4 linked regions of the Arabidopsis thaliana genome follow. The protein of the gene in region 4 interacts with the protein of the main gene of each other region in a pairwise test. Each region holds a gene or a part of one and is shown on either strand. Other genes may lie near its edges. The genes, in order: HOS3-1, FRK1, AT4G26770 and AT5G67130.

Region 1 (6,307 bases), on a different chromosome or scaffold from region 4:
GCTTTTGTCGAACCGTTTGTTCAATATGTCAAAAACGGCGTCGCAAAGTCTCATGAACTGTCGTACTTCGTCTTCTTCTTCGTTAGCCATGCGAACTAGGGTTCCTAAAGATATAGGAGAAGCCACGATTGATCCAGAGCCTGGAGATTTGACGATTTCTCAGAGGTTTTTGAATAAATTCTCCATGAATGGGATTGATACGACTTCGAAGATGTCTATTGGGGAGAGTCTGATGGAGAAGCTTAAAGAAATGGATATGAACAAGGATCGGATTCGATTAGACGGACTTTCTCATCCGAAGGAGGAGACGTTAGGGCTTACTGTGCAAGACGTGAAGAAGTTGCTAAGAGCAGCAGAGATCGAAGTTATTAAAACGAAGCTGATGGAGACAGGAAAAATCTGGATTCGTTACTCAGATTTCTTAGGTGTTTGTAGTGATTCTTCTTTGGATCCTTCTCAAGGAGCTTTGATCGCTAAGATGCTTGATGATTCAGGAAACGTTATCGTTATGGGAAACTCTGTTTGTTTAAGACCTCATCAGGTAACTTCTTCCTCCTCTTTGCTTTTTTTTACCATTTGAATTCTTTTTTGTCTATGCAATTCTCTGATAAGGTCTTGTGTGTTGATCAGTTAACCAAATCCATAGAGGGGCTTCTTCCTTTATCACAAATCCATAACCCGAATGACCCAAGAAGAAAGGAGCTAAATGAGCTTGAAGCTATAAAGACGGTCATTGACCAAAAAGCACATTCTTTGGTGAGAAGAGAGCTTTGGGCTGGTTTGGGTTACTTGATCATCCAAACCGCAGGGTTTATGAGGCTAACGTTTTGGGACCTGACATGGGATGTTATGGAACCGATCTGTTTCTATGTCTCATCGGTATATTTCATGGCGGGTTACACATTTTTCCTCAAGACATCGAGAGAGCCTTCCTTTCAAGGTTTTTACCAAAGCAGGTTTGAGGCTAAACAAAGGAAACTGATGCAATCTGAGGATTTTGATGTTGGGAGGTATGATGAGCTGAAAAAGCTGTTTAATCCCAAGCCTTCAGGTGCTGTTCCCAAGATTCTTGGATCTCTACAGAATTGATCATTGGTGTCTCGTTGTCCTACTAACCTGAGAAAGATATATTGACCCCCAAAATTGTGTCAAACTATAATTTTTGAATATTTCATAATCTTTCTAGGAAAATAGGAAAAAGACAAAAAAAAAAAAAAAAAGTTCTATTAGTGCGGCTTATGTAATTTGGAAGAGTAGATAAAAGAATCGATTGTGATGTAGATTTATAAATTTCAAGTCTGACTTTCTGAATGTTAAATGTTACAATACTTCCATGCATATGCATATGAGATATCATTACTTTAAACATGTTATCTATACCAAAAACTCAACAAAACCTTGTCATTTGAGGCCTAAATCTTAGTTGAAGCCAATTCCGAAATTAGTTTTAGTTTTAACTTAAATGATTTTTAGTTTATAAATTAAACAAGTATAACATATGCTTAATGATTGTTTCGGCGGGCTTACATAAATGATTGATAGAACATGTTATGCGTGGGAGTAGTCGTTGTAAGTTCACCGTCCAAGTCTCCTTTTAATTAATTCACGAGAAATCAACTACGACCGTGTAAATAAAATACTTAGTTTGGTAGGTCAAGAATCACTTCTGGAAAATGAGACTAAAGAAAAGAGTCACTTGTGGAAAATACTATCAAGTGGACAAAACCAAATTCCTCATAGTGAAAAAGAGATATATTACACTGTTCCTGCCGCATTTGTTTGGTACGTATCTAATATTTTTGTTTACTCACGTGGTACTATAACGCTTATTGCCAATATAACGATTAGGACAATTTGATTTCTACTAATTTTATTTGATACGTATCAAATATCTTCTGTCTTAGCTGGTCATCAAATTGTGTGAAATAGTAATTTAATACTAACTCGTTACTGATTACTGATGTAGATTCATCTTCGTAACGATCGCCCGATCCATATTCCAATATTTGCATTTTGTTTTACGTAATGCACTCTTTCTCATCTGTAGCTCCTTGAGTAAAACTTAAAACTTAACCATGAAGGCATCTGTAAATTGACGCTTGTCTGAATTTCTCAACACCAAACTCTCTTTCGTGTCTAGAGGTTCTTTGGTTTTCCCACCTGCTTTTCGATTATGGTAATGGTCAACTTGACGCGTACCAAGTTTTCTGATCTTTTTGAAGATATTTCAAATATGGTTTGCTATTTCGATTTTCGACAATAACAGTAAAACCCCATTAAGACCATAAATCTTAAAAATTTTCATAACCGTTTTACAATATTCATTTATGTAGCCAAATTAAATTTGTCACGTAAATGTGACAATTAATATTGGTCCACATCATTTTGCTTTCATGACAAGACCGGCCATTTAGTGACCTACTGTATGTTCTACAACAATTATTGGAAAATGGAAATTAAATATCCCAACAAAAAAAATAAGAGCAGAAACAGAGATTCACTTTGCGAAAAAGTCGCACGCACACATATAAAAGACAGGACTAGAGGAACAGAGGAAGAAGAAGAGTCACTGTGATCACCACCACCGTACGATCAAATTCAAACTATGTCAACGGCTCTGATTAACTCTATTACCTACTTCCTCTCCGAACATCCATACATCGTCGGATTCCGTTGGAGTAACAGCCAATCATGGGGCTCCACGTGGTCTTTCCTCTTCACATCAATCTCCCTCTATATCGCCGTCTCATCCTCCCTCCACATCCTCCTCTCCGCCGTACGCCGAAGTAACCGTTCCGTTCCTTTAGGTCACATCCCCGAAATCCACAGCCTTCTCATGTCGATCCTCTCCGCCACCATTTTCGCCGGAATCCTCCTCTCCGCTGCCGCAGAGATCCGTGACACACGGTGGTTATGGCGGCGGAGCAAAACCGCCACTCCTCTCCAATGGCTTCTCTGTTTCCCTCTCGGGACTCGTCCCTCTGGTCGTGTCTTCTTTTGGTCATACGTGTTTTACCTCACGCGCTTTCTCCACATGTTCCGTACGATTTTCGCCGTTTTACGTAGCCGGAGGCTCGCCGTGTCTCAGCTCTTTTGTAACTCCGTCATGGCCTTCACGTCTTTCCTCTGGCTAGAATTCTCGCAGTCGTACCAGATTCTAGCGATTCTATCGACGACTCTGGTTTACTCGGTGGTTTACGGTTATAGATTCTGGACCGGGTTTGGTTTACCCGGTTCGGCTTTCCCTTCGTTTGTGGTGAATTGTCAGTTGGTTCTCGTGGGCTGTAATCTCGTGTCTCACGCTGGGGTTCTTACGATGCACCTCTTTAAAGGTGGATGCAATGGGATTGGCGCGTGGGGTTTAAACTCGGTTCTCAACGGTGCGATTTTGTTGCTTTTTCTTAACTTTTATGTGAGAATGCATTCGCCAATGCGACGCCATATTAATAAAATGAATAGCCAACGTAACGCTTAAGAATTAATTGATCCTTTTTACTAGTTTTTACTTTTTACTCAATAAAACAAATCTAATCTTCTTTTTTGTCTTTCACTTTTAAAACTGAAGTATAATCTAATTTGTTTTCTAATAACTAAAATGTTCTGCGTCTAGGTCTGTACATCTTCTCAAACCGGGACAATTTTTTTTTTATAAACCATCGATCTCTGACTTTGCATGAGATATTTTACATTTGAACTATTGGCTCTTAGTTAACGCAATCTAGTTCTTGTTTTTCATTCTTTTAAATCTAGTTTTGTGTTTTTTAAGTGGAAAGAAATTATGTCGATTATTTATAAATATATCTTTAAAAATATTTATTTATTTCATAAGAGGTTTTTGATCCAAAGACTCAAACTTGGGGTAACTTTATGACGTAGATATACCACAATACCCACCAAAATGTGGTGATAGAGGAAACAAAGGTTTACATGGTGGATCATGGACGAGGATGATCAAAAGCTTATACTCTTTACCAAGTGAAAATGCATTTTGGATAAGAGGAAAAATTATTAAAAGCGAGAAAACATAATATGGTTTGAGACTGATGTGTTAGATTGTAAGAGCTGCAATTGTATCTCTCTACTTGGGGACACACTTTTGATTTTCTATTTACCGTTTGAATGCCGTATAAGGAAATGTACAGGTCAAACGAATATGGTCGAGTGTTCGCCTTAGACCATTGTATAAGGAAATGAACTATGTCGACTATATTTAATATTTGGGCCTAGTATAATATTACTACACTTAATCAAAGTTAAGGCATTTATAACTGTAGAACAAGATGGGCCTAAGGCCACGGTTTTCTACTTAACTAGGCACACATATGACATATCCCATAGTAAAAAAGCTTACATAATAAGGCCCACATCTGAAATCTGATTCTCCACTGTAAAAATAAAATCCTCTTAAGCTCTCGATCGATGGTTCTGCAATCTCACAAACCAGAAACAAAGAGTCCAGGCTCTTGCAACCAACCGCGGAACTTGTTGAAAGGCGACGAGGAGAGAGAATTTCAAATCTCTCCAGATCAAAGTGAAACACAAGTACAACAAGTAACCGACAAAGTGAAGCGCAAGTACTTGTTTCTTTCCTTTTCCTTTAATATTTGTTAATTTGAGAAAAGTAAAAACCATAAAATATATATAGTTTCTGTCCGAATCGGCCTATCTTCACAAAATCTCGATTCCAATCAAGAATTTATGGCAAGAAAGGTCGATCAATCAATCAGATGATTATGGATCTAGAGATCTCTAAATTTGTGTTGTTGTGAATTGAGAATGCGAGAGCATTCGACGATGTACAATTACGCCCCCGAAGTGCCACCGCAAAGTAAAAGGAAGAAGACGATGAATGAGGCGTCTCCGTCGTGGTCTGGATTACCGGATTCTGTGGCTGTGAGTTGCATGGCTCGCGTCTCGAGATTGGACCAAACAGCCTTATCTCTCGCTCCAAGAAATACCGCTCTCTCGTAACATCCCCTGAGCTCTGCAGCACGCGATCGCTGATTGGTTGCACTGAGCCATCTTTCTTCGTCTGCTTGCGCATCTTACCTGATCCAACCCCTCGCTGGTTCGTCCTTACGGGTAGTCGTCGACTGAGGCCGGTCCCATCGCACCCCTATCAGGCTCCGGAATCATCTTCTTTTGTGGTAGTGAATTGGGGGATCTATGTTATGTAATCGGTGGAATCATAAACGGCAATCCCACTTCCGATGTCTTGTTCCTCAACTGTTTTTCTCAGACATGGCACCGCGTCCCGTCTATGAAGATGGCTCGTGCTTCCGCATCGGCAAGCCTCATAGACGGGAAGATCTACGTTTTTGGAGGGTGCCCAGAGGACGCTGATTCCTCAAACTGGGCGGAGGTATTCGATCCAGTTTACCAAACTTGGGGTATATTTAATACGCCGAAGATGGCCCATAGTATCAACCAAAGTGTGGTGATAGAGGAGAAGAAGGTTTACGCCGTGGATGAGGAGGACCAAAGCTTTAGCTTCTTGCCAAGTGAAGGTAGAATCTGGAAAAGCGGAAAAAAAGATTCTAAGGTAGGAAGTAGACACGATTGGTGTGTCATTGGGAAATTACTATACTGTCGTGCTACTCGCGGTAGAATACTATGGTGCCAACCAGATGAGTTGGACTGGAAAGAGGTAAAAGGTTTGGAACAGCTACAATTGTATCTCTCTGGTACAAGATACATCTTCAGACGTACCTCTGATAAACGACCGTCAAAGACCAACGTCAAATATGATATTAGAAAAATCTCTAGTAACTCTGCTGGGAACATTGTCATCTTCGGGAACGCACATATTGGAGACCCTGAGTGTGTGGAGCTTTGGTCTGCCGAGATTTCCATGGAGAGGCGCGAGGGAGGTGAGATTTGGGGGAAGATTGAGTGGTCCAATGTTGTCTTCAAACTTGATCCTCTCTCAAACTCATATAGCGTTGATGTCTTATTTTCTGCTTCTGTCCATTTGTGATATATTCATTCCAATATTTATTTGTATTGCATATTACTCAACGAATCAGATTGTGGGATATAAGCATATAGTAGGCAATTAATCATTTAACAGTAACAACATAACAGTTAGAGCCTCTTTCTTTTAAGAGGTATGTGGTGGAATTTGATGCTGAATTCTCATTAATGACTCGTTACCAACATAACAGGTAAAACCAACGTATCTTGACCCTTCTAGAAGCTAAGCCTCTCTATGCTTGTGCATCCTCAACTGCTATAGCAGCATGCATGATGCTTCAGCTGCTCATGAGTGTGTAGGAGCTGCAGAAAACTAATCTTGGACTCCTCCTAT
Region 2 (8,380 bases), on a different chromosome or scaffold from region 4:
CTTAACCATATCCATATCTCTGTCATAGCATATGATATGACTTGCAACTATAAACTCCAAATTCACGTGCATAATATAAACGACACTTTATGACATGTGGACTCACAATCTCCATATTCACGTGCATTTACGTACACACATGACATGAGCATAGTTCCATATACATTTGGAAAATAAGACAGCAAATATTATTGGGTCAGCGAATCCTGCAATTTGCATCTACCAAGAATACTATTCATCACTTATACTTTAGGGCCACCGGATTAGATCAATCGGTGCCCATTTCAAGCCCAATCCACTCGTCTTTTGTTAGATTTTTTTTCCTTTTTTATATATATATATATTTGGGTTTGCTCAAACATTAATAATTGATTGAAGTTAATTTTAAAATTTAGAAATTGGACTTGCTGTTTTATTTAGAAAATCCACAACTGAATGAGTTCTAACATGTACAAGATTCACCAAAACTTTGTCTTATCCTGTCAAATGGTTAGTCTTGCGGATATGATGCTAATTTCATGTTTTAAGTTATTTCAATTTTTCAAATATACTTTTTTCTTATCAATAAATTTACCATCAAAAAAGAAATAAATTTACCATCAAAAAAGAAAAAAAATTGACCAAAGAAAAAAAAAAATTGACCAAGAAAAAAAGGTTATTTGTTTTTCTATTAATTTTCTATAATTGGATCGGATCTCAGGGATTCGGATCCCAATTTGTACCCGTTTCAGTTTCACGAACTCTGTCATCGTTTATAAATGTAAAAAAAATCTCAAACTTTCTCTTTCTTGACTCTCTCTCCTAAAAATGTCTCGATTGCTCTCAAAAACCCTAATTCCCAACGGAAGATTCCTCCTCCGTCGTTTCAACGAGCCGGCGATTACGACACCACCAAACGTCGTCTGTTTCAGCCGCCGCTTTTCATCCATCCCACAAGTCATCGAGCTTGAAATCGATTCTAAAAACGAAGCGGAAGCAGCAATTCTCAAAAAGCTAAACGAATTCGTACGAAGGATCATCGTTCATAATTCGACTCCAGATTGGCTTCCTTTTGCACCTGGCTCTTCCTTTTGGGTACCTCCTCATCAGATTACGGCTACAAAGATCGCCAATTTGGTCGATAAGGTGACTAATCCGTTGACGGAGGAAGAGTCTCTTTCGCTTTCGTCTCCTTATGGTTGGCCTTGTTCCTCTTTCTTCATTCCTCCTCCAGGTAATTGCTCTGATGGGTCTTACTTGTTTTTTGGTTCTGCTTGTTAAAAAAGATTCCTTTTGAGATTTTCCTCAATGTTAAACCCAATTCATGAGACAAAGTTGAGATTTTGTTGGGTTACTTAGGGAAGAGAATATTTGAACATTATTATCTACATGAACATTTAGAGCAATACTAGAGCTGATTTGTTTTGATGTTTGTGTCTCGTTTTCGAAAGATATGGTTGAGTCGTTGTTAGGGTTATTTGCTGATATCTGTGGTGATATGTTTGTGTATGTCTATGAAAATGTTAAGATGGTTCCTCATCTACACAAGAGGAAGAAGCTAGCGTGGAGTTGAAAATCCCGGGGAATGAGATGTTGGAAGTGAAGCTAGCACATTATCCAGATCCTATTTACTCTTTTAAACCTGAAGATGGTGAAGAGTGATTCGATACCTTTTCCAGCACGAGAGAGCAGGTAATGACAATGTAAAGAAATTTTTTTACAAGTTGATTATAGATTTGAAGTAGCAATGAAATGTGTTCCTGACAAATACCTTGGATGTACAGGACAGGATTGGAAAAAACAGATGACGATCGAAACTCAAGCAGTTTGTACATACAGTTGAAAACCATGGGAGTTATATGATCTTTGGGTGACTTTATACACCTTGTTTACTATGTTTTATAATTGACTTAATATAATTAGCTTGGGGGCTTCTTCCACTTGCCAGAGTTTATGGTGATGCTCGGGTAACTTGACAATTTCATTTATAATGACAATTCTTCCCTTTGACACTTGACCTAAGTGCATATAAATAATGTCTTGGCATACATATTATTCAGCAACCATTTGCAAGTAAGATTAATGTATTTATTGAGACACAAAAGCAAATTGAATACAAATTTATTCTTCTTTTTCTACTCTGAAGAAATTCACTACCTTGCTCGAGGAACCATCTCGGTGTCTAGATTCACTGTAAGCATTTTCGTCGAGTCATCGTAGTTTTCCTGATCAGTCACTATGCCATAAACAATCTGTTTCAGCTCCATAACGACCTGACTCATCGTTGGCCTCTGCGCAGAAGTGTGCTCGGTACAAGCAAGAGCGATCTCTGACATTTTCCAAGCCGAGCCAACGTCATATCTCTCTCTTAGACGCTGATCCACGATTCCTCTAATGTCTCCGTTGGCTAATATTGACCTGACATGATCACTTATATGCACCTTCTCTGTTTTTGAGCTTGCAATAGCAGGTTGGCCTGTAATCACTTCAAGAAGAACAACCCCAAGACTATAAACATCACTCTTTTCGTTCATTTGGCGAGTCGAATAGTACCTGTAGTTTCAATAATATGTGTCACCCTAGATGAAACATTTGTATTCTTTAGTTTGGAGAAATAGTAATTAAGAAGGTTTTTATTACTTACTCGGGGTCAAGGTAACCGATGGATCCAGCGACAACTGTTGAAATCTGACCGCTTCCTTCAACAGAGAAGCTTCTAGATAACCCGAAGTCCGCCATCTTCGCTTGGAGCTTCTCGTTTAGTAAGATGTTTGTTGGCTTCACATCTCTGTGAACTATAGGAGGCTTACAACCATTGTGAAGATACTCTAGTCCTGAATTTGTTTTATAGACAAGAAAACACACACTTCATTGATTGATTTTCGCATGTTAGATTTAGTTAAATGTAATTTCAAGATGGGACTTCCCGAACCTTGCGCTGCATCTAATGATATCTTCAACCTCTCTTCCCAGCTCAAGATAAATGACCTTTTACCTTCACAAAATGAAACAAAACCAAAGTTCCTTTCTCAGTACATTATGAACATAAGATTAGTGAACAAAAGAAGAATCATTAATTAACCTGCCAAATAGTCTCCTAAGTTCTCATTAGCCATATACTCATAGATAAGCACCATGTGGTTTATTTCGTTGCAATATCCAACAAGAGAAGTCAGGTTCGTGTGATGAACTCTCATGAGAAGGTCAACCTGCGATTCTCAACTAGATTAGTTAGGTGAAAAAGTTTGAGATAAATTAAGATTAAGTCCTTGAAAGGTACGCAAAAAAAACCTCTGCTCGAAACTCTTTGTAGCCTTGAGCTGATTCTTCAGAGAGTACCTTGACAGCAACTTGTTCTCCATTTATGACACCATGGTATACTTTACCAAAACCTCCTTTGCCAATAACTCTCTCAAAGTTATTTGTGATATTCACAACTTCTGAGTACTTAAAGTATCGCTTTGCAGTTTTCAACGGCCCATTCCTCTCACCAAGTGTACCTATAAGAACCTCGTTTAGTTACTTTCTTTATTGGCAGAAATTTGTTTTTAGTATCATACCTCTTTGTTGTTTTTTCTTGAAACGCCGGAACAAAGCTAAAGCCGTCAAAAGAACGACGATGATTCCTACGACTACTAATGGAATGATGTATCCATTCTTGTTCTTCTTCTTTGTGTTTGAACAGGAATCAGAGAGACAAAGGTCCGGATTTCTACCAAATCTATAAAGTTACAATGTAGACATGTTAGGAATGAATCTTGTCAAAGCGCATTGCGGAATTATCGGTTCTAAATCACATTCAAAGAGGAAGAACTAAACTAAAATTAATAAAAGGTAGCTTTTACGAGTCGCAAACCTTAAGGAAAGAGATCCATTCTTTGATCTTTCATGCAATCTTTGTGGAACTATGCCCGTTAACTTGTTTCCTTCAACGTTTCTGCATATACGAATCCACATCAACTCGTAAATTCAAAGATATCTTTTGCTTCACTGATCAAGTGAAATATTTGCTCTAGTTGATATGACTCACAATTCGGTCAAGTTTGGTAAGTTAGCGAGGAAAGCAGGTATTTCTCCTGTTAAAGTATTACCGGATAAATCTCTGTAATGAAAAATGATTGTGTTAGTAAGGAACTCTGTGTATCACAGAGTGTCAGTGATTATTACATGAAAAAAAATACCGACAATTTTCTTATAGATGTAAGGTTGGAGAAGGCTGGATCTATCTGGCCTCTTAATTCACTAAAAGATATATTTCTGCCAAATAGAGATGTTTAGGACAAAACAAAAACAGAGCAAAACAGAGCACAACAGAACAAAGCAGAGTAAAACAGAACAGATATCTATAAATTTAAACACTAACTTACAGTGAAACGACTCTAGGATTAGTAGTGTTATCACTTTGGATACAGTCAATACCTTCCCAAGAATAATCTACGGGAACACAAGGATCTCCTTGCCAGTTCTTCTTCACTCTATACGTGGCTTTAATCTTCCTCATGGCATCAACTATAAGAGCATATAAACGAAATCAGACATAACCGAAAAAAACTTCGGAGGAAGTTTGTACCATATAAAAAAAGCCTTAATTACCATCCTGTGGATGAGTTGGGATCTGAAGGAACTCATTGACTTGATAGACCTCAAGGGCGTTAATGATCGGTGGAAGTACAAATTCACCAGGTGGTTGAAGAAGAGAGAAGTTAATGGTAATTCCGCTCACGGGATCCGGTGTAACGAATGTGTCGGTAAGCAAGTACCGAAGCTTAAACGAAGGAGAGATTACATCCTCATTTAGCCAGATGCTGAATTCTCTCGTCTGGTTGCTTTTCAGTACTTCAATTTCAGCAAAGTGCATGTATACATAAAACTTTGCGTTAGGGTCGGGCGGTCTGAAACTAAGCGTTAGGTAGAGGCTCTCGTTTCGCGCTGTTTCTGCAGTGCTCATGACAGTAGAAGCCGGTTGGTAGCCATTGTTAAGAAATTGATCGACAGTGAGAGATGTATTTAATATCTTGTATTCTGAACTCACTATACGCGGTGTCCATATACGGTCATATATGTCATCTTTGTACCTACACAAATGTGTATGAGAAACTGCAAAAACAAAAAAGTTTCCTTGTAAAATAATCAAAGTTTCTTGTTAAGGCTCACCTCGATGGAAGTTTTCCCGTTTTGCTGTAATCTAATCTCCGAAGGAGGGTAAGTGCATCGTAAGGAGTCTCATAAGTAGTGTTCAACAAGAGCCGTATCTCCAAGACAGACAAAAATGGAGTTCCTGCGTTCTTATCAACAACACACACTTGAACATTGTCTAAAAGTGGAATGGTGATTATCTCTTTGTTGAGTATAGTTGTTGCATCGTCGAGTTTAACAGAGTCCCAAAAGTTTACTCCTAGATAGAGATCGAACTCGGGTACTCTTCCAAGATCATCATAGTTCCCGTACATGAAACGAGTTCTGATTAGATACTTAAAACCTTTGCCTCTCGGCGTCGGAACATCGTAACAGCTTCTCTTGCTTTGAGGGAAACTTCTCACGTTCAACAAGTGTCTATCAAAACCACTTGATTGAAACTGAGCTGCAATTCTCTTTGTTGTTCCTGAATCAACAAACGCCGAATCCGAAACATACTTTATACCTGTAGTCTCATCGTTGTAGCTAGAATCATCCGGTATCCCGCAATCTATACTTATGAAACCTGTAACACTCAGAGAATGAGAGAAAAGAAGATACGATTGATGTATGGAAGCTTGGTTTGCTTCAAGATAAATACTAAGGGAGAGTAGTTTTCTGGGAAAATTGTATGCAAATTCTTAACTAAACGATGCACTTGATGTAAAAACGTATTTTAGCATCTGAATATTAAACAAAGCCAAGACTGTTTTAAATTACCAGATTGATCTTGAGCATGAACAAGAAAGAACAGAAGAGCAAAGCTTGTGAATAAAATCGATGAAAGAGATTTTAACATCGCCATTTACTTAATTGAGCTGCTTTCTCTGGGCTAGAGCAATGAGCAACTGTTTTATAATTAAAAAAAAAAAAACATTTGGTCAATAAGATGTTGATAGTCAACCAACCATCTTCTAAGGTTATTAGTGTTACGCAACTTTAAGAATGTTCGGACCAGGACGTAATATATGTCAACGCTTACTCTCATTAACATTATTTCTACTTATTGCATATTTGCATGGTTTTTCCTTGGCAAATGATTACCTTTAATTCTCTGCAAAATTTAATTAAAAGTATATTTGAGTCTAATAAAGCGAATGAAACTATATGCATAAAAAAACGAGACTTAAAATCTATTTTTAACTATTATTTACAACGTTGCCAAAAAAAAAAACTAGTATTTTTCAAATGTTTGACAAGAAAAGGTTCATTTTAATAAATGGTCAAAACACATCTAATTTCCTTTTGAGTTTATTACTATATATGCTATAACACCACATCACAAATGTAAAGAGACCAACACTGATATAAAAAATCTCACAACTCCCAATAGTTTGTATATTTTTTTAGGAATCAGTTGAATATCAATGTGTTACGGTGAATTTTTTTATTTAATATAGTCAAGGTACTTGACAATAATTTGCAAAACCACATTGGTAGGTGACCGGACACGTTTAGATCTTTTTATTAGTCATCACTTTCAAGTTTCAACGATGTGTTTTTCTTTTAAAACCCGATGATCCGCTTTCAACGATACAATATGTTCTTTTAATAATATATATATTGGTCAACTAGTAATTAAGTCAATAATTTTTTTATTTTTTTTTGTCGACTTCTAAGTCAATGAATATATATTCTTAGTTTCATTGCCATCCACAAAATAATCAAAGAGATATATATTCTTCAGATATTTATTTAACAAAAGAGACTATTCTGATATTAATGTATGATCATACAATTTTGGACTCCTTTTCTTTTTTTGTTTCTGAATTCGGTTTATGAAGATTACTTTAGAATACTAGCTTCGTAAGACAGGTCTAGAAGGTAAATCTTTCCAACCTGCAATCACTAACCAAATAGTTGTCATTTCGTTTAGATCAAAGATCGACTTTTAGTTGGATATCAAATTTGGTCACTATGTAATATTGGAATTCACATGGCGAATACAGTCATACAGATTGAGGTATGATCCTAAGGTCGAATGACCGAAAGAAAATGCAATAACTAGGAATACTGCCCTAATAAGCGTCCCTAATACTTTTCAACATATCAAATCTTCTTCTTTTTTTTGTTGTTGATAAAAAGGCGTTTAATTTAAATTAGAATAACTAATACCTTGCTATGACTTTTTATGGTCAAACAGTTTTAAGGAAGTAATTTGGAGGAGGACTTGACGATAAAAAGATATTCTTAAACCTTTTTTCTTTCCAAATTACTTTCTCAAAATTGTTTGACCATAAAAAGTTTTGGAGATAACCAACCAAAATTATACATAGCTGCGAGGAAGAGGAAGTGAGGAAAAAAAATAAAAATAGCTTACAGGAGATAACTAATTAGTGTTTCCACGACTACCGCGGCTTCTACAACCACAACGTCCACAATAACTCACATTAATCCATATATTATGAACCCTTGGAAACGGTTTTGTACCGGTCTATCTCGCAAAGTCTTATGAGTAGATGAGTCATATCAGATTCTGCTCAGAGATTGGAACTGAGTATCCTTGCTCCAACATTTCGAATCTTTCAAACAGTTTCCAAATTTTTTGGACGGATTGGATTTTTTTGTTGATTTGGTAAACGTTGATGTGATCTTCTGGTCCGATAATTCTAACAAAGGTGCATGAACCTCATCTGAAAAGATGCTTAGTTGACAAATAATATAAATCAAAAGTCTCATATTGACCATATGATTTATATAAGTCGGTATGCATGCATGTATAATTTAAAATATATAAGTTAATGCAAAAAGTTAAAGCTCTCCCTTTGTGAAAAAAAAATCCAAGAAAAAGATGCTTAATTGAAAAGTAGTCTGAAAAAAATATTATAATTATACAAAACTAAATTCTTGAATAGACGATACGGTTTATGTAAACCGACATGATTATATACATGGTTGATGAAAAAAGTGTTTTCTTACGTGAGATTAGTGCCTTTTGCTCTTACCAAACTTCTCATTACCCGGGTCTGCAAGCCAAACATACAAAAAAAAAAAAAAAATCTCATTACGTTATCATTAGAGCAGAAAAATCCATTAAAAACAGTCTAATAATTAAGATTTACTTAGTAGTAATCTGATCAGAACTTGTATGGTCTCAGAAATCACCACCCGATTTCGATCTCTATCTAAGGGAGTCAGGGTTAATCTATATAATCCAAGTATTCTTGAAATTCATCAACGTATTAGTTATGTCTCCACAGAGATTATACACACTCCTTTTGGACCA
Region 3 (7,226 bases), on a different chromosome or scaffold from region 4:
AATTAATCACTATTCATGCCGAAATTGCAATTCAGGGTTTTGTTAGGGTTTAAGGCTTTCCCTCATTTGAGTTTCTAGAAATGATTGCTATCTTCTGATACTGTTTCCTTGATCTCTTATGTTTGAATCTTCAGATATATGAATAAACAATAGAAGAATGGTTTAGATTCTCTATAGGTTTTTGCTCTGTATCATTTCACTGAGTTTAACCCATTTTACTTTTTTTTTTGGGGGCAGCTTGTTCCAGCTCAGATGTCTATGATGGATTCGTTTGCACTGCAAAGGTTCAATTTTTCTTCCTCTACCTCGCCTGAATCAGATGAGAAGAAGACCCACACTGAGGCCTCAAAGACAAGTGAAGAGAAACCTACAGCTGAGGCAAACCAACCAGGTCTTGACTCTGAATCTAAAGATTCTGTGACAGATTCTGCAAAAAGAAAGCGGAAAGGTGCTAAAGGAGCTGCATCTTCATCTTCTGAATCAGATTCTGAGAGTGATGATGATGAATTGTCAGCCGATGATTTGGTGAAGCTCGTAGCTGAGAAGGAAGAGCTACTGTCTGAGAAGGAAGAAGAGATTAAGCAGTTGAAAGACAAAGTTCTTCGCACTTATGCTGAGATGGAGAATGTCATGGACAGAACAAGACGTGATGCTGAAAACACCAAAAAGTATGCCGTACAGGTTAGTCTTTAAGAACTTGGTTTGCAGCTTTTGTTTCATATAATAGTTTTCTGAAATATATATATTCACTATATATGTATGCAGAATTTTGCAAAGAGCCTATTGGATGTGGCGGATAATCTTGGAAGAGCTTCTTCGGTTGTCAAAGAAAGCTTCTCAAAGCTTGACACCTCAGAAGATTCTGCTGGAGCAGCTCCACTATTAAAGACCCTTTTAGAAGGAGTGGAGATGACTGAGAAACAGCTTGCTGAGGTAAATATCGAGAAATGTAATTATAAGACCTTAAGTAAGCAATGCAGATGAGACCGGTTAAACATGTGTGCCGCTGCAGGTATTTAAGAAATTTGGTATGGAGAAGTATGATCCTATAAACGAGCCATTTGATCCAAACAGACATAACGCAGTGTTCCAAGTCCCTGATGCTTCTAAGCCAGAAGGCACAGTTGCTCATGTCTTGAAGGTAAATATATAAAGCTTGCTCAATTCTTTGTCTCTTTATTTCATATTGTATAGTCTTAAATACCAATTAGTAATGATGGGTGTCAATATGTGCAGTCTGGATACACGCTGTATGACCGAGTTATAAGACCAGCTGAGGTTGGTGTTACCCAGGGAGGAGAGAACCAAGAAGAAAAGAAAGAGTCTGATGCTTAAGAAGAAGTCAGCTGGTTTTCATAAATTTTGTTACGGTTCTATGTTTCCATTAACATCTTCTCGAGTCTTCGAGTCATAGTTTTCTTTTGTGGTTTGGTTATTCATTAGATGAACAAGATCTCCCATAAGTTGCTGGACATGGCATTTGCAGGGGAAATCCTGCTTCTGTGTCTGTTTTCTCTATCTCCATGCTATAATTGAACGAGGAAAATATCATTTTACATCTCTTCTACTCGCACACTATTACCAAGTCTCTGTTTGATTAGTTAAATCAGATACAAATCAAGGTTTTACATGGTCTGATACAACCAGAAACTAACCATAGAGAAAGAAGCTGAAAACAGAGTCACAAAACTTGCACTCACTATTTAAAACCTCCCTTGCAACTTATGTTGAAGAATGTCTCCGAGCTTTTCATAAAGCATTTTCTGCTCCTCGTGTCCCAGGCTCCTCGATATCTGCAGGTATAATACAATCAATTATTTACAATGCCTCCGTATTCTTGGCTTATATGATGATTCTTACCTGGTCTAGGATCATCTCGACACTGTAGTCCCGATTAACAATGAAAGATTGGATGTAGATGTATGCGAAAACCGCCATAACCATCTGCATTTAGGCAACAAGATTCGTTTAAAACGATGCAAAGATCATATTGCACTTTTCGACGTTAGTGACTCTTACTTGGCAATCCATTCTGTCAGTAAATCCTCCATGTCCTGGTATGCTGTCTCCGAAATCCTGTCAAAGCGACATAAACTAGTAAATATTTGTTCTTGGATCTGTAGATACAAAACCTTTTAATGTTTGAAAAATGTGTTAACCTTGATCTTGAAAGCTCTTTTGAAACCGCTTGCGAAGAAGCCACCAAAAGGCGCCATAATGGATGCGAATAGACCGAGAGAAAAAGCATGCCATTGGACAGGCAGGGTCGAGATCCCTTTCCATGGAGACTGTTAAGCAAAGTTCACAACGGAGCTCAGTTTCAAAACAAGACAACATCATCGGCTGGTTTTCACGAGAGGACAGTTAATTGCTTACAAATGGAGTAATCCAAGAGGGAAATGGGTAATACTCTGGCCTGAAGAGAGGGCCTGGATCACAATGAAGCCAACCAGTTGATAAATCCTGCAAAAGATATGCAACACAAGGATGAAGTAAAGGCCGAGACAAAATATTGTGATGGAGATATCACTTTTTGTTACCTTCCTTGGACATGTAAGCCATTGGAACTGGCCTAAGACATTAGCAAACTGTTGTACGAAGCAGATAATAATCTATCAGTCTTGAGACCAAAAGAAAGAGTTACGAACGAATGAATAAATGATAGAAGAAGGTTATTACAATAAATGCAGAGATTATAGTTGCAACTGATGCTCCGATGAAACCTTCCCATGTTTTCTTTGGAGACAACTTGATGAGCGGAGTTTTCCCGAAATAGAAACCGAAGAAGTAAGCTGCTACATCGTTCATAGCAATCAGTGCTGCTGGTAGAAGAAACCTGCATATTTAAAAGAAATTAGCACTCGGGAAAACTATTATGCTTCAGTGGATATATATAAGAGTCCATTGTACCAGAAGATCCCTTCAAAAATATTGGCGACGGTGAAAGAAGATTGAGTAAAGACAACGATAAGGATCATATGTGTCCAAGCGTATTGCCCAAACTGATACTTATACATCTTATTCTTCAATGTAAGGATAAACCATATGAGACCTGAATCCAACTTAAGCTGTTAATAAATCAAGAAAGAGAGTATTGTTTTTGTGAAGAAAAAAGAAACAGACAAACCTGCGATGTACAAGAAGTAGCAAATAACCATCTGGTACTTGATAAGACCACTCACAAGCTTGTATATGAATCTATCTGAAGAAACCGTGTTGACTAGCTGCTGTTGAATGATGCGTCCATAGACAAACAACATAGCCGTGAAGAAGAAGTGCCAATTCAAGAGCCAGAAACCGGGTAAGCGACGTTCTTCATGAGCTCTTCTGCGAAGAAAGAAGAGCTCTTTGGCCATGAATATCTGTATAACCACAACCATAGCCCAAATGTAGAGATGACCCATGTAGATTATAAACACAACTCCACCGAGCATCCAGAGAGATGAGCATGTCCTTATCCACATTGATCTGTACTTGTTCTTATCACCAAGTAACAAATTGCTTACTCTGCTTACATTGCTTCTGTTCACCTCAGCTAAATTCTGATCAATATTGAAAAAGACAATCAAATTTTGGATTCAACCGGAAAAGAGAGTATGACATTGTATAGATACCTCGCTTGATCGCCTGCGGTGTCGAATGCGAGCTGTTGGAGAGCTAGGAGTATAATTGTAATCCCTTGGTGAATTAGGAATGTTGGGATAATGGTTATCTCTCTGGTTATTAGTATTCATTCGAGACGTTGGTGTAGTAGGGTAACTAGTATCCCTTAGCTTTCTAATCCGTGGAGAATTTGGACTGAGATCTTTCTCCATTGCCATTGAGATCCCTAGGAAATGCTCTCAGTTCCTGGATTGAGTTCTTGAAATTCAGTTAATCATGATGATCTGGGTTTCTTTATACATCCGAGGAAATGAATTTGGGGTTGATCTATAATTTCAAAATGTCAACCATAACTCGAGCTTATACACGTCTTAATGAAACACACACATTGATATCTGATGAGAGATTACTTGTGTAACAAGCATATAATAGAGGATTTAGATTTGAATGTGTAAGCCTAGAAATCTAAATGATTCATCAAAGCAAAACGTGATGATTCACATACAAAGGATAAATTTCATAAGTGAACATTGCAACAAAATGGGATCATGACAAGTAGAAAAAAGAGAATGAACTTACATTAACGAAAACGTGGTGGGATGATGGTGATTGAAAATGCGAAACCCTAATTAATGAAAAGAAACGTGAAGAAAGAAACTCAAAAGGTGAGGGAAGAAGGAGGAGGAGGAAGGTGGTGGATGAGCACTTAGCGGTGAGGTTTCATCAAATCATCGGAAGAGAGAACCAATAAACTATTCATGTCGCTGCTTCATGTTTAAACCCGGAATGAGTGACACGTGTTGTCTTGATCTGTTTGGGCTGGGTCAGATATTTAAGCCCATTAAGGAAAGCCTTTTAACTATTCAGACATGAGCATGAGGAGTCAACGAGGTCTGTGAGATCAGTGGTCAAATCAGTAAATAACGCGAAAAGACAGGGTCTCTCACCTTTTTGCTGTTGTTTTTTCCTCATTAATTATTGAGTTCCGTAAAATGGGTCCCACTTTTCCCATTTCCCAACCTCCATAACCAAAGTTGGAGATTTCTCTGTTTCCTATGCTCTCTCTCTCTCTTACTCTCACAGTGACTATTCGTCGCTTCAGATCTAAAAGAGAGGAAGATAAACCATTTGGATTCAATATCGATTAAGGTAAGAAAGCCATCTTCTACTTGTTGGATTCGATTAGTTTCATTTCAGCTCATTGCCTCTTTACTTCTTCAATGTTGATTTCTTGCTTTGGCTTTGGTTTTATCACCAATGCTGTTTGATTTCTTTGAAGTTCCTTTCGAGCTTTTCTTGAGCTTAGTTTCACATTCTTAGCTTCACTAAGTTCTTTGATGTGTTTTTGTTCCCAAGTTCAAAATGTTGTTTCTGATTCAATTTGGTTTTCTAAAAAAGATTGCAACTTTGGTTTCTTTTAGTGTATAGTTAGTTTGGATCTTCACTAAATATGTTCGTTGTTTCTACTTTTGTAGGAAACCTTTTGACTTCACAAGAATGGCAGTGACAGAAGCAGAAAATCCTCTTCTTGGTGAAATCACTTGTGGCACCTTACTACAGAAGTTGCAGGTAGATTTCGCAACATACACACTTATCCTTTTAATATATGGTTCCACAAACTCAATGTACAAACTTGTTACAGGAAATCTGGGATGAGGTTGGGGAGAGTGATGAAGAACGAGACAAACTGCTTCTACAGATTGAGGAAGAGTGTCTGAATGTTTACAAAAAGAAAGTTGAGCTAGCCGCAAAATCTCGTGCAGAGCTTCTTCAGACTTTGTCAGATGCCACTGTTGAACTTTCCAATCTCACAACTGCTCTCGGGGAAAAAAGCTATATCGACATTGTAAGTAATCTCACGTCTTACAAGTGGTAAAGAGATGAGATGGTTACAGTGTAGTGTGATTCAATGTCTTTGTTTCCATTGCAGCCTGATAAGACTTCAGGAACGATCAAAGAACAACTTTCTGCAATAGCACCTGCGCTTGAACAACTTTGGCAACAGAAAGAGGAAAGGGTCCGGGCATTTTCTGATGTACAATCACAGATTCAGAAGATATGTGAGGAGATCGCTGGCGGATTGAACAATGGACCTCATGTGGTTGATGAGACTGACTTGTCTCTAAAGAGATTAGATGACTTCCAGAGGAAACTCCAAGAGCTCCAGAAAGAGAAGGTAAAATATTAGTTGGGATATGGTTATGTGTGGCCTATGTTCAAACCAGAACTAAAACTGCTTTGTGTTTGAGCAGAGTGATAGGTTACAGAAGGTGCTCGAGTTTGTGAGCACGGTGCATGATCTATGTGCCGTCCTTCGTTTAGATTTCTTAAGCACTGTCACCGAAGTTCATCCGAGCTTAGATGAGGCAAATGGTGTTCAAACCAAGAGCATTAGCAATGAAACACTTGCAAGGTTGGCTAAGACTGTCTTGACTCTTAAAGAAGATAAAATGCAAAGACTTAAGAAGGTTAGTCAAAATCATGGTCTTTGTGATCTCTGACATGAGCTTGGTCAGTTTAGGCTGCACATATGTTGAAATCCTTTCTGATTAATTGCGCTGAAAGTTTGTAACTTTTCTCTGCACCATTCTTGTTTGTGGATTTCATTAATGTATCTTGGTTTTATGCAGCTTCAAGAACTAGCTACTCAGCTAACTGATCTATGGAATCTGATGGATACTTCTGATGAGGAAAGGGAGCTTTTTGACCATGTTACCTCTAACATTTCAGCTTCAGTTCATGAAGTGACTGCCTCTGGTGCTCTCGCACTTGATCTTATCGAACAGGTATCGTAAATTTGTAATGTATCAATCAATGTGTATGATAAGTACTGCTTTTAAAAATCTTCTGTGAACTCTTGAAGGCTGAGGTGGAAGTGGATAGGCTTGATCAACTGAAATCTAGCAGAATGAAGGAAATTGCATTCAAAAAGCAATCAGAGCTTGAGGAGATATATGCTCGTGCTCACATAGAAATAAAACCAGAGGTTGTTCGTGAGAGGATCATGTCGTTGATTGATGCTGGGAATACTGAACCTACTGAGTTACTGGCTGACATGGATAGCCAGATCGCAAAGGCCAAGGAGGAAGCCTTTAGTAGAAAAGAAATTTTAGACCGTGTAGAGAAATGGATGTCAGCTTGTGAGGAAGAGAGCTGGCTCGAAGATTACAATCGAGTATGCTAACATTGGCTATGTTAATAAACACATTACTTATTAAGCATAGAGTTCAATTGATGATTCTTTTGGGTTTTTGTTCTGGAAAAACAGGATCAGAACAGGTATAGTGCAAGCCGAGGTGCGCATTTGAATCTCAAGAGAGCTGAGAAAGCTCGGATTCTGGTCAGCAAGATTACTGGTAAGAACTTCCAAAAGTCTCTCTTAGTTATTACTACACATAGAATTAAACTGAGACTGAAGAATATATCATACTTTGTTTGTGCAAGCTATGGTTGACACGTTGATTGCTAAAACCCGGGCATGGGAAGAGGAGAACAGTATGTCCTTTGAGTACGATGGAGTTCCTTTACTCGCCATGCTAGATGAATACACTATGCTTAGGCAAGAACGAGAAGATGAGAAGCGGAGGCTGAAAGTAAGTTGTTTCATCCTGTGTTAAACCGAT
Region 4 (7,348 bases):
GTTCATAACAAATGAAAAAATGGTGAAGGCTTTCAAATGTGATGTAAACACTTTAGTAGTTTTTGAAGATATTTGCATATCAAAACTTAATCTAGTCTAGTTATAACATATATAATATACCTCGTAAGTGAAGATGTCTCCATGAGAAGATGGATTTGTATACTCTTCTAGTGACTCTGTTTCAAATTGTTCATTTGTCGATGACTGTAACCAGTTTCTCCAATACTGCTCCAACGTTTCTTCCTATACAATTTCAATGTCTATATTATAATATCCAAAAGCATTAGATATTAGATAATTACCCAACTAAGTGATATTAATGTTTTCCATGTAAAACCGAAAAATTTTAAACCAAACAAAATACATGAAAATGATTATTTTAAGTTCACTAAATATCATAGAAAATTTAAACCTTTCTTTGTTTTTTAAATGGCAATTGTTTTTTTTTAGTCTTATTTCCACAAATATTGTTTCATAAACTCTAAATATACTTGAATGCTAAGAGATTTGCATATCGAAACTTAATCTAGTCTATATATTTATTATATACCTCGTAAATGAAGGTGCCTCCATGAGAAGATGCATTTGTATACTCTTCTTGTGATCCTGTTTCAGATTGTTCATTGGTCGATGACTGTAACCAGTTTCTCCAGTAACGCTCCAACGTTTCTTCCTATATAATTTCAATGTCTAGATTATATCTAAAAGCTTTATACCTTTTAAAGAAAAATATTAGATAATAGATAATTAATTACTCAATTAAGTGACATTCAATGTTTTCCCACGCAAAAACAGAAAATTTAAAACCAAACAAGATACGAGGGAAATGATTACGTAAAATCACGGAATGTCAAAACAAATCAAAATCCTTTTTTTTTTTCTTTCAAATGTCAATAATATTGGATCTTATTTCCTCCAATATTGATTCATAAACTCTTGAAATATATTTGAAATGCTAAGAGATTTGCATATCAAAAGTTAATCTAGTCTAGATTTATACTATACCTCGTTAGTGAAGGTGTTTCCATGAGAAGATACATCTGTATACTCTACTACTGATGTTGTTTCAGATTGTTCATCGTTCCATGATTGTAACGAGTCCTGCTCGAACGTTGTTTCCTAAACAATTTTCATGTCTATATTATATCCAAATAAATTATTTCTCTTAAAAAAAACATTAGATAATAGATAATTACCCAACTAATTGTCCTCAGAAGGGAACCGGGCTCTATTGCCGGACCATCACCGTTCACATCAAGCGTTGGATCTGGTGAGATGTCATCAGCATCAACTGGTGAGTAAGTGTCCCATAGATCCCAGTCGTCTCCAAATAGTAGCCACATGAAGCTAAAAGGACTATCCGGTATCTCAGAATTGTCTTCGTTTGGATCCATACTTTTGGAGAAACATATTACCTGACTCAAAATTTTTTTTCAAGGGGCTAGATTAAGCTGAATTTATATAGATAATTAACACTTTCAAGTATCATCACCATTTAACTCTTCCATTCAAATGCAAATACTTGAGTGGACAGGATAGTCTTAATATTGATAAAGTAATAGAAAAAATAAAGACGTTATGAACAAAGAAAAACCACTAAATATATTGTAGCTCAGTTAAAGGAAAAATATATATACCAAATTAAGGCTTAAACGATAAATAATGCATATAACCCACTTTTCAGTGCCTCCATGGATAAAAGGATTTAGCAACTTTAAGGAAAAAAGGTTTATACCAAAAAAAAGTTCAAGGAGAAAAAGACCACTGATTTACAATTGTTGGGTAGTTTGAAGTCCCAAAATGTTAAAAATTCAATTAAAAAAATTGTGACAGCTAATAAAAATGGAACTTTAGCTGGATTCGGAAGATTTATTTTATTGAAAATAAGGATTCTGTTTTAATTATAGCTCTAATACAGTTGAATTGGTTTTTTATAGAAAAACATTTCTTTATTGAATTTTCTTCAATGGAAAAATATCATTTTAGAGTGAATAAGTACAAAAAATAATAAATGTTGCTTTCAACAAAAAAAGGAAGGAAATTTTATGTTTTGGCTTTGTATATTTGCTTTCAACGTCATTAAAACGCTTTTTAAACCGGAGATATGCATCTTGTTTTCCTCATTTACAAGTTCACAAGATGATTAATTACATTACTTGGGTCATGGGCTTAAAAAGAGAGAGTTTGGGTCCAACTAAAAAGGCTCAGTAAAATACGTAAATGGGCCTAGCGTTATAGCGAGAGGCAGAGAGAGAATTTACACGACGACGACGTCATACTCAATGGACGTAAATGTCCAAACTACAAAAGTTTTTTTTTTTTTTTGTGTATTAAAAAAAAAATCTCAAGTTAAAAACACATCAAGAGTATATTACAGCAACTTGTGTGTTAAATCACCAATTGTGAATAAATCGGTTATGGAAATCAATCATTTTTTTTTTTGGTTTAATGGAAATTAATCATTTGATCGTTAAGAGTGTCACTAATTCGATACGTCACTTGCTGACGAATCTGCAGATGAAATAGGCATGGTATGATAAATCTCGTTAAGAATAAAATTTCACCTAGATGTTTGAGTAATTTTTGTAAGATGATGAAAATTGTAACATTTTTCATTGAAAGAAGCAAAGAGACAAGCAACAAGACAAGAGTGTCCCCACGCATGTGAGCACCGTTAACCATAATAGAAAAAAGATATCTTCATCTAATAATAGGTGAAAAAATCTTATAACTGAGCAAATTTTAGAGAATGAAAATAGTGATCTGTGAAATAATTTTTTTTTTTTTTATGATAGACCTCACCTAACAACTAGAAGAAATAATATAAAACCATTATTACTTATATTGATAAACTCTTACAAGATCACTGTTTCCATAAATCTTGACAAAAATGTCACTCCATATGTTTGGTGTACAAGACTAGAAACTGTAGTTTTGAGTTATGTTATTATAATGTTAAACTGTATTATGCTCAAAATTGAACTCCTTTTGAAAGGTGGTTTATCTTCTTTACTAATCGTTTCTTCATTTTCTCTCTAGGAGCTAGGTGGGAAAAAGATTCAACCTTGTCTTAGAAAAAGAAAACCAAAGCTAATCTTTTTCTTTTGTACCTCTCTTTCAAGGATTAACAAAACAAATCGATGAAGCCCGGGTTTTAGTACCTAAACATCTCTTTGTCTCGTCTTTGAAAACCCCCCCAAGTAGATCCAACATCATTCATATCTCTCTCTCTATCTCTGCATAAGCTACGGAGCGATGTCGGCGTGCATCAATGGCTTATGCAGAGCCGTGACTGTCTCTCTTCTTCTTCTTCTTCTTTCTTTCTCTTTTTCCTCAGCTTGCTCCAATGGAAATTGCCAGGTTCTTGATTCTCTTTGCTTATTATTCTCTGGTTTATGGCTATCAAATTTGGGTCTAAATCTTTAGGGATTTTGCATTTTTGTGTCTCTTTCAGCTGCTGGATTCATGCTCCTCGGCTACTGATTGTGTCTCTGGTTTATACTGTGGAGACTGTCCTGCCGTTGGAAGAAGTAAACCCGTCTGCACAAGAGGCCAAGCCACAAGTCCAACTTCCATTGTGAGATTTAGTTCCTATAATTAGTTGGATTTCTCTAGAGTTTCCAATTTTTGAAGATGCGTTGTTTCAAAAGATAGTCTAGATCACTTGGTCTATCAAAAGTTTTGAACTTTGAAGATGGGTTTTGCTGAAGATTTCATTTGGTTGCATTAAAAGATAGTCTAGATCATTTGGTTGTATCAAAAGTTTTGAACTTTGAAGATGTGGTGATGAAATTTGTGTGTGTGTTTTTTGTAGATCAATGGATTGCCTTTTAACAAGTATACATGGTTGATGACTCATAATGCCTTTAGCAATGCAAATGCACCACTTTTGCCAGGTGTTGAGAGGATTACATTTTACAATCAAGAAGATACTATTACTAATCAGCTACAAGTAATGCTCTTATTACCAACTCTCTTATTATAGTTTCCTCTTTTTTTGGATAAAACTCTTGAATGTATATTTTTGTTCTAGAATGGAGTTAGAGGGCTAATGCTGGATATGTATGACTTCAACAATGATATCTGGCTTTGCCATTCGCTTCGAGGGCAATGTTTCAACTTCACCGCTTTTGTAAGTTTTATCTTCAGCTTAACCTTGCTGGATCGAAAGCTTGAAACCTGATTGGATTGGTAAATGTGAACTTTGTTTTCTTTTTGAATCAGCAACCTGCAATTAACATACTGAGGGAAGTTGAGGCATTTCTGAGTCAAAACCCAACAGAGATTGTTACCATCATAATAGAGGATTATGTGCACAGACCTAAAGGCTTATCAACACTGTTTGCCAACGCTGGTTTGGACAAATACTGGTTCCCTGTTTCGAAAATGCCTAGAAAGGGAGAAGATTGGCCTACTGTGACTGACATGGTGCAAGAGAATCATAGGCTCCTGGTTTTCACTTCTGTTGCTGCCAAAGAAGATGAAGAAGGCGTTGCGTATCAGTGGAGATACATGGTTGAAAATGAATGTGCGTATTACACACAGTTTATATCTTTAATGAAAATTGTCTCTGAGAATAACCTTCTCTTGCCATTTTCTTATGATTGTCTAAAGCTGGGGATCCCGGAGTGAAGCGAGGTTCTTGTCCTAACAGAAAAGAGTCTCAACCTTTAAATTCAAAAAGTTCTTCGCTATTCTTGATGAATTACTTCCCGACATATCCGGTTGAGAAAGACGCTTGCAAGGAGCACTCAGCTCCACTTGCTGAGATGGTTGGGACTTGTCTCAAGTCAGGAGGGAATAGAATGCCAAACTTTCTTGCTGTTAACTTCTACATGGTACTGAATCAATCATATAACTATAATATGACTGTTTTTACGAGATCTAGCTAACAAACCATAATATTGCAGAGAAGTGATGGAGGCGGCGTTTTCGAAATTCTGGATAGAATGAATGGACCGGTACTTTGCGGTTGTGAAACTCTTTCTGCTTGCCAGGTATTAACTTATTAACTCGCGCCAAAGTTACTTATGGGTATGAAATAAGATCTTACAAGCCTAAATTATCTAAAACCGGCACCCGTATTTTGGTTCTTGATGTTGCAGCCAGGAGCAGCTTATGGTTCATGCAAAAATGTTACTGTACAGACAAGAACTCCAAGCATGGATTCAACGGCTGGAAGCAACTCAGGTGGAAGCTACTCAGGTTCAGTTCAGTTCTCAAGATCTTTAGCTTCTGTGGCCCAACTAAACAACATTGTTGTCTTCTGCTTCTCATTGCTTCCGTTGCTGATATTTCTACTATGACACAACCAATCAAACCACGTGGAGAGATTCTTAGGTTAGAGAATCTTGATCACTTCTTTAGAACGAATGAGAGAGCCTAAGTTGACATGAATTGCCTTAGAAAGAGTTTCTGATTTGATTCTTGTATTGTAGACTGCAGAGCTATAGGCAGAAATCTTGTGTATGTGTGTCTTCAGCTTCTGTTGATTGTTATGCAACTTATATATATATATATATAGACACAATTCTACTCCAATAGAAACTTTACTGAATATTTATATATATATGTTGTTGATTGATGAGAGAACACATAAGATATATGCAGATTCAATTGTATGAATTACTATGTACACAACAAACAAGAAATATGATGAGCAACACTAGACAGCATGCAGCAACGGTGGTGGATTCTGAGCATTGAGAAGCAATTCCATGGGTTTGATCTGAAGAGCAGGACTGATGGTAAGTAAAGCAATGAAGCAATCTACAGGAACTCTAGTTCCCCATAAGTTGATGGATTCGAGTTTTCTGCATTTGTTTACAAGAACAAGAAGGCCTCTCTCTGTCACATGACGGCAACACCACATTCCGATTGTCTGCATAAAGGATTCCAATTTCGAAAGCGTGATTCTCATGAATCTAGAGAGAATTATTTGGTTAGATGATTGTTGTTACCTTAAGCTGATGGCAGCGTTCTGCAATTGCGAAAAGAGACTCATCGGTTATAAATGTTCCTCCTATGTTTAGGTGTTGCAGTGAGGAAGTTCTTGAAATCTGTCAAATCAAAATCAAGATTCTCTGAAATGATTAAAACAAAAAAGGAATCTTCAAGATTCCAGTGCACAAAAAACGGTGTTAGATTTTACCAGTTGAACAACACCAGAATCAGTAATGGCGGTCATGCCCCATAAAGAGACAGAGTTTAAATTGGATACACATCTTGCAGAAGCTATTTGGTAAAGACCATTATCAGTTATATGACAACCCCATCTGCTTCGAGATCTTCAAATATGAAAGAAGAAAAAAACAGAGTTTATAGTTCTGTTCTGTTTTTTGACCAAGTCAATATCCTATCTCAAACACCCTAAAGGTAAAGTTGGAAACTTGACCAAAAAATTCAGCAAATCTCCACTATCCCACCAATCTTGTTTACTCTTAATCCGCCATTGAAGGACAAATCAAGTACGATCATAGTACAAGAAACAAACAAAGAGCAAAACAGAGAGAAAGAGAGAGAGATTACATGTCGAGTTCTTTGAGGTTGAAAGCAAGATGAACGAGACGAGAAGTGGAATCATCGTCCATTTTCCAACCAGCAAAGCTCAGAGTTTCTCTTCTCGCCATCGATTGATTTACAGCTTTTCTCCATTTCTTGCAAACACCACTTGCCCTAAAAACCCCAAAATTCACCAAAAACTTCAATCTCACAACAATGATTTATTTAATCAAAAAAAGAGAGGATCAAACTTGTAAGGATCATCAATGAAAACACTTACTGGGCCAAAACGGTGAAAGAAGTAGCCAACGAAAATATATATGCAAGAAGGTCTAATGGTAAACGATCAATCGCTGCTTCTTCATCCATGACTTGTATGATTTTAGAGCTTCTTAAATCAATATTTGTAGAAGATTTTTATGTATTAAGAATTGTTTGTATATATCATTAGTTCTTCATAATTGCAGAGGAAGCAGATGTTGTCTTTTTCATGGTTTAACTGCAGAAGATGTGGTCATAGTTCCGTCATATTTTTTAATCGTTATAACAAAAAATTTGAAATTAATTTATATGATTTAATAAATGTTTTTATTACACGGTCCAAGATTTTGCGTAGAAGAATACCTCTAGGACTCCGTCTTTTTTCTTCTGTACGCCACGTGGCACATGCCACGGCCTACGGTGCGTAATAAAAGATCTTTCTTATTCACTCAAAAATACATTATTTTTTGTGTTGCTTGCTTCACAAAATATTTAAATGTTAGTGAACTAACACATACTTTAATTGTTAAATTTGACATGACGTTATCTGTAATTTTCTTTTCTCATCTTACGTTTGTACTTTTCG

The links.
Region 1: the proteins of AT5G67130 (region 4) and HOS3-1 interact in a protein complementation assay, tested with the Arabidopsis thaliana proteins (one large-scale study listed by BioGRID).
Region 2: the proteins of AT5G67130 (region 4) and FRK1 interact in a protein complementation assay, tested with the Arabidopsis thaliana proteins (one large-scale study listed by BioGRID).
Region 3: the proteins of AT5G67130 (region 4) and AT4G26770 interact in a protein complementation assay, tested with the Arabidopsis thaliana proteins (one large-scale study listed by BioGRID).

The regions. Positions count from the first base shown.
Region 1 is NC_003075.7:17,346,906-17,353,212, forward strand, and holds HOS3-1 (GNS1/SUR4 membrane protein family), read left to right. Parts: upstream 1-2,312; 5' UTR 2,313-2,605; coding exon 2,606-3,380; coding exon of another isoform or gene 3,381-3,475; exon of another isoform or gene 3,476-3,722; intron 3,723-3,876; coding exon 3,877-4,028; 3' UTR 4,029-4,258; downstream 4,259-6,307. Other genes in the region: AT4G36820 (calcium uniporter (DUF607)), read left to right, coding at 1-541, 631-1,089; AT4G36840 (Galactose oxidase/kelch repeat superfamily protein), read left to right, coding at 5,261-5,977. UniProt on the Arabidopsis thaliana protein: Probable very long-chain fatty acid (VLCFA) elongase that controls VLCFA composition and functions to inhibit abscisic acid (ABA)-mediated stress responses, including regulation of stomatal aperture, maintenance of primary root growth and inhibition of germination.
Region 2 is NC_003071.7:8,323,935-8,332,314, forward strand, and holds FRK1 (FLG22-induced receptor-like kinase 1), read right to left. Parts: upstream 6,011-8,380; 5' UTR 5,960-6,010; coding exon 5,875-5,959; intron 5,681-5,874; coding exon 5,134-5,680; intron 5,055-5,133; coding exon 4,573-5,054; intron 4,489-4,572; coding exon 4,347-4,488; intron 4,237-4,346; coding exon 4,165-4,236; intron 4,082-4,164; coding exon 4,010-4,081; intron 3,917-4,009; coding exon 3,836-3,916; intron 3,701-3,835; coding exon 3,540-3,700; intron 3,480-3,539; coding exon 3,271-3,479; intron 3,189-3,270; coding exon 3,062-3,188; intron 2,975-3,061; coding exon 2,912-2,974; intron 2,814-2,911; coding exon 2,624-2,813; intron 2,533-2,623; coding exon 2,133-2,532; 3' UTR 2,115-2,132; downstream 1-2,114. Other genes in the region: AT2G19180 (uncharacterized protein), read left to right, coding at 808-1,213, 1,508-1,641. UniProt on the Arabidopsis thaliana protein: Involved in innate immune response of plants.
Region 3 is NC_003075.7:13,479,175-13,486,400, reverse strand, and holds AT4G26770 (Phosphatidate cytidylyltransferase family protein), read right to left. Parts: upstream 4,338-7,226; 5' UTR 4,183-4,337; intron 3,850-4,182; 5' UTR 3,822-3,849; coding exon 3,615-3,821; intron 3,543-3,614; coding exon 3,128-3,542; intron 3,053-3,127; coding exon 2,911-3,052; intron 2,837-2,910; coding exon 2,680-2,836; intron 2,589-2,679; coding exon 2,541-2,588; intron 2,464-2,540; coding exon 2,377-2,463; intron 2,289-2,376; coding exon 2,160-2,288; intron 2,077-2,159; coding exon 2,020-2,076; intron 1,945-2,019; coding exon 1,861-1,944; intron 1,794-1,860; coding exon 1,704-1,793; 3' UTR 1,458-1,703; downstream 1-1,457. Other genes in the region: AR192 (Co-chaperone GrpE family protein), read left to right, coding at 238-681, 766-933, 1,013-1,141, 1,237-1,335; MAP65-2 (microtubule-associated protein 65-2), read left to right, coding at 5,101-5,172, 5,246-5,449, 5,534-5,779, 5,856-6,071, 6,234-6,389, 6,467-6,778, 6,872-6,959, 7,048-7,196. UniProt on the Arabidopsis thaliana protein: May be involved in the synthesis of minor phospholipids and in modulation of IP3-mediated signal transduction.
Region 4 is NC_003076.8:26,788,344-26,795,691, forward strand, and holds AT5G67130 (PLC-like phosphodiesterases superfamily protein), read left to right. Parts: upstream 1-2,955; 5' UTR 2,956-3,255; coding exon 3,256-3,360; intron 3,361-3,454; coding exon 3,455-3,577; intron 3,578-3,814; coding exon 3,815-3,952; intron 3,953-4,033; coding exon 4,034-4,132; intron 4,133-4,224; coding exon 4,225-4,528; intron 4,529-4,614; coding exon 4,615-4,838; intron 4,839-4,910; coding exon 4,911-4,997; intron 4,998-5,105; coding exon 5,106-5,306; 3' UTR 5,307-5,539; downstream 5,540-7,348. Other genes in the region: AT5G67120 (RING/U-box superfamily protein), read right to left, coding at 121-243, 551-673, 1,006-1,119, 1,197-1,394; AT5G67140 (F-box/RNI-like superfamily protein), read right to left, coding at 5,666-5,881, 5,961-6,059, 6,152-6,287, 6,529-6,675, 6,782-6,870.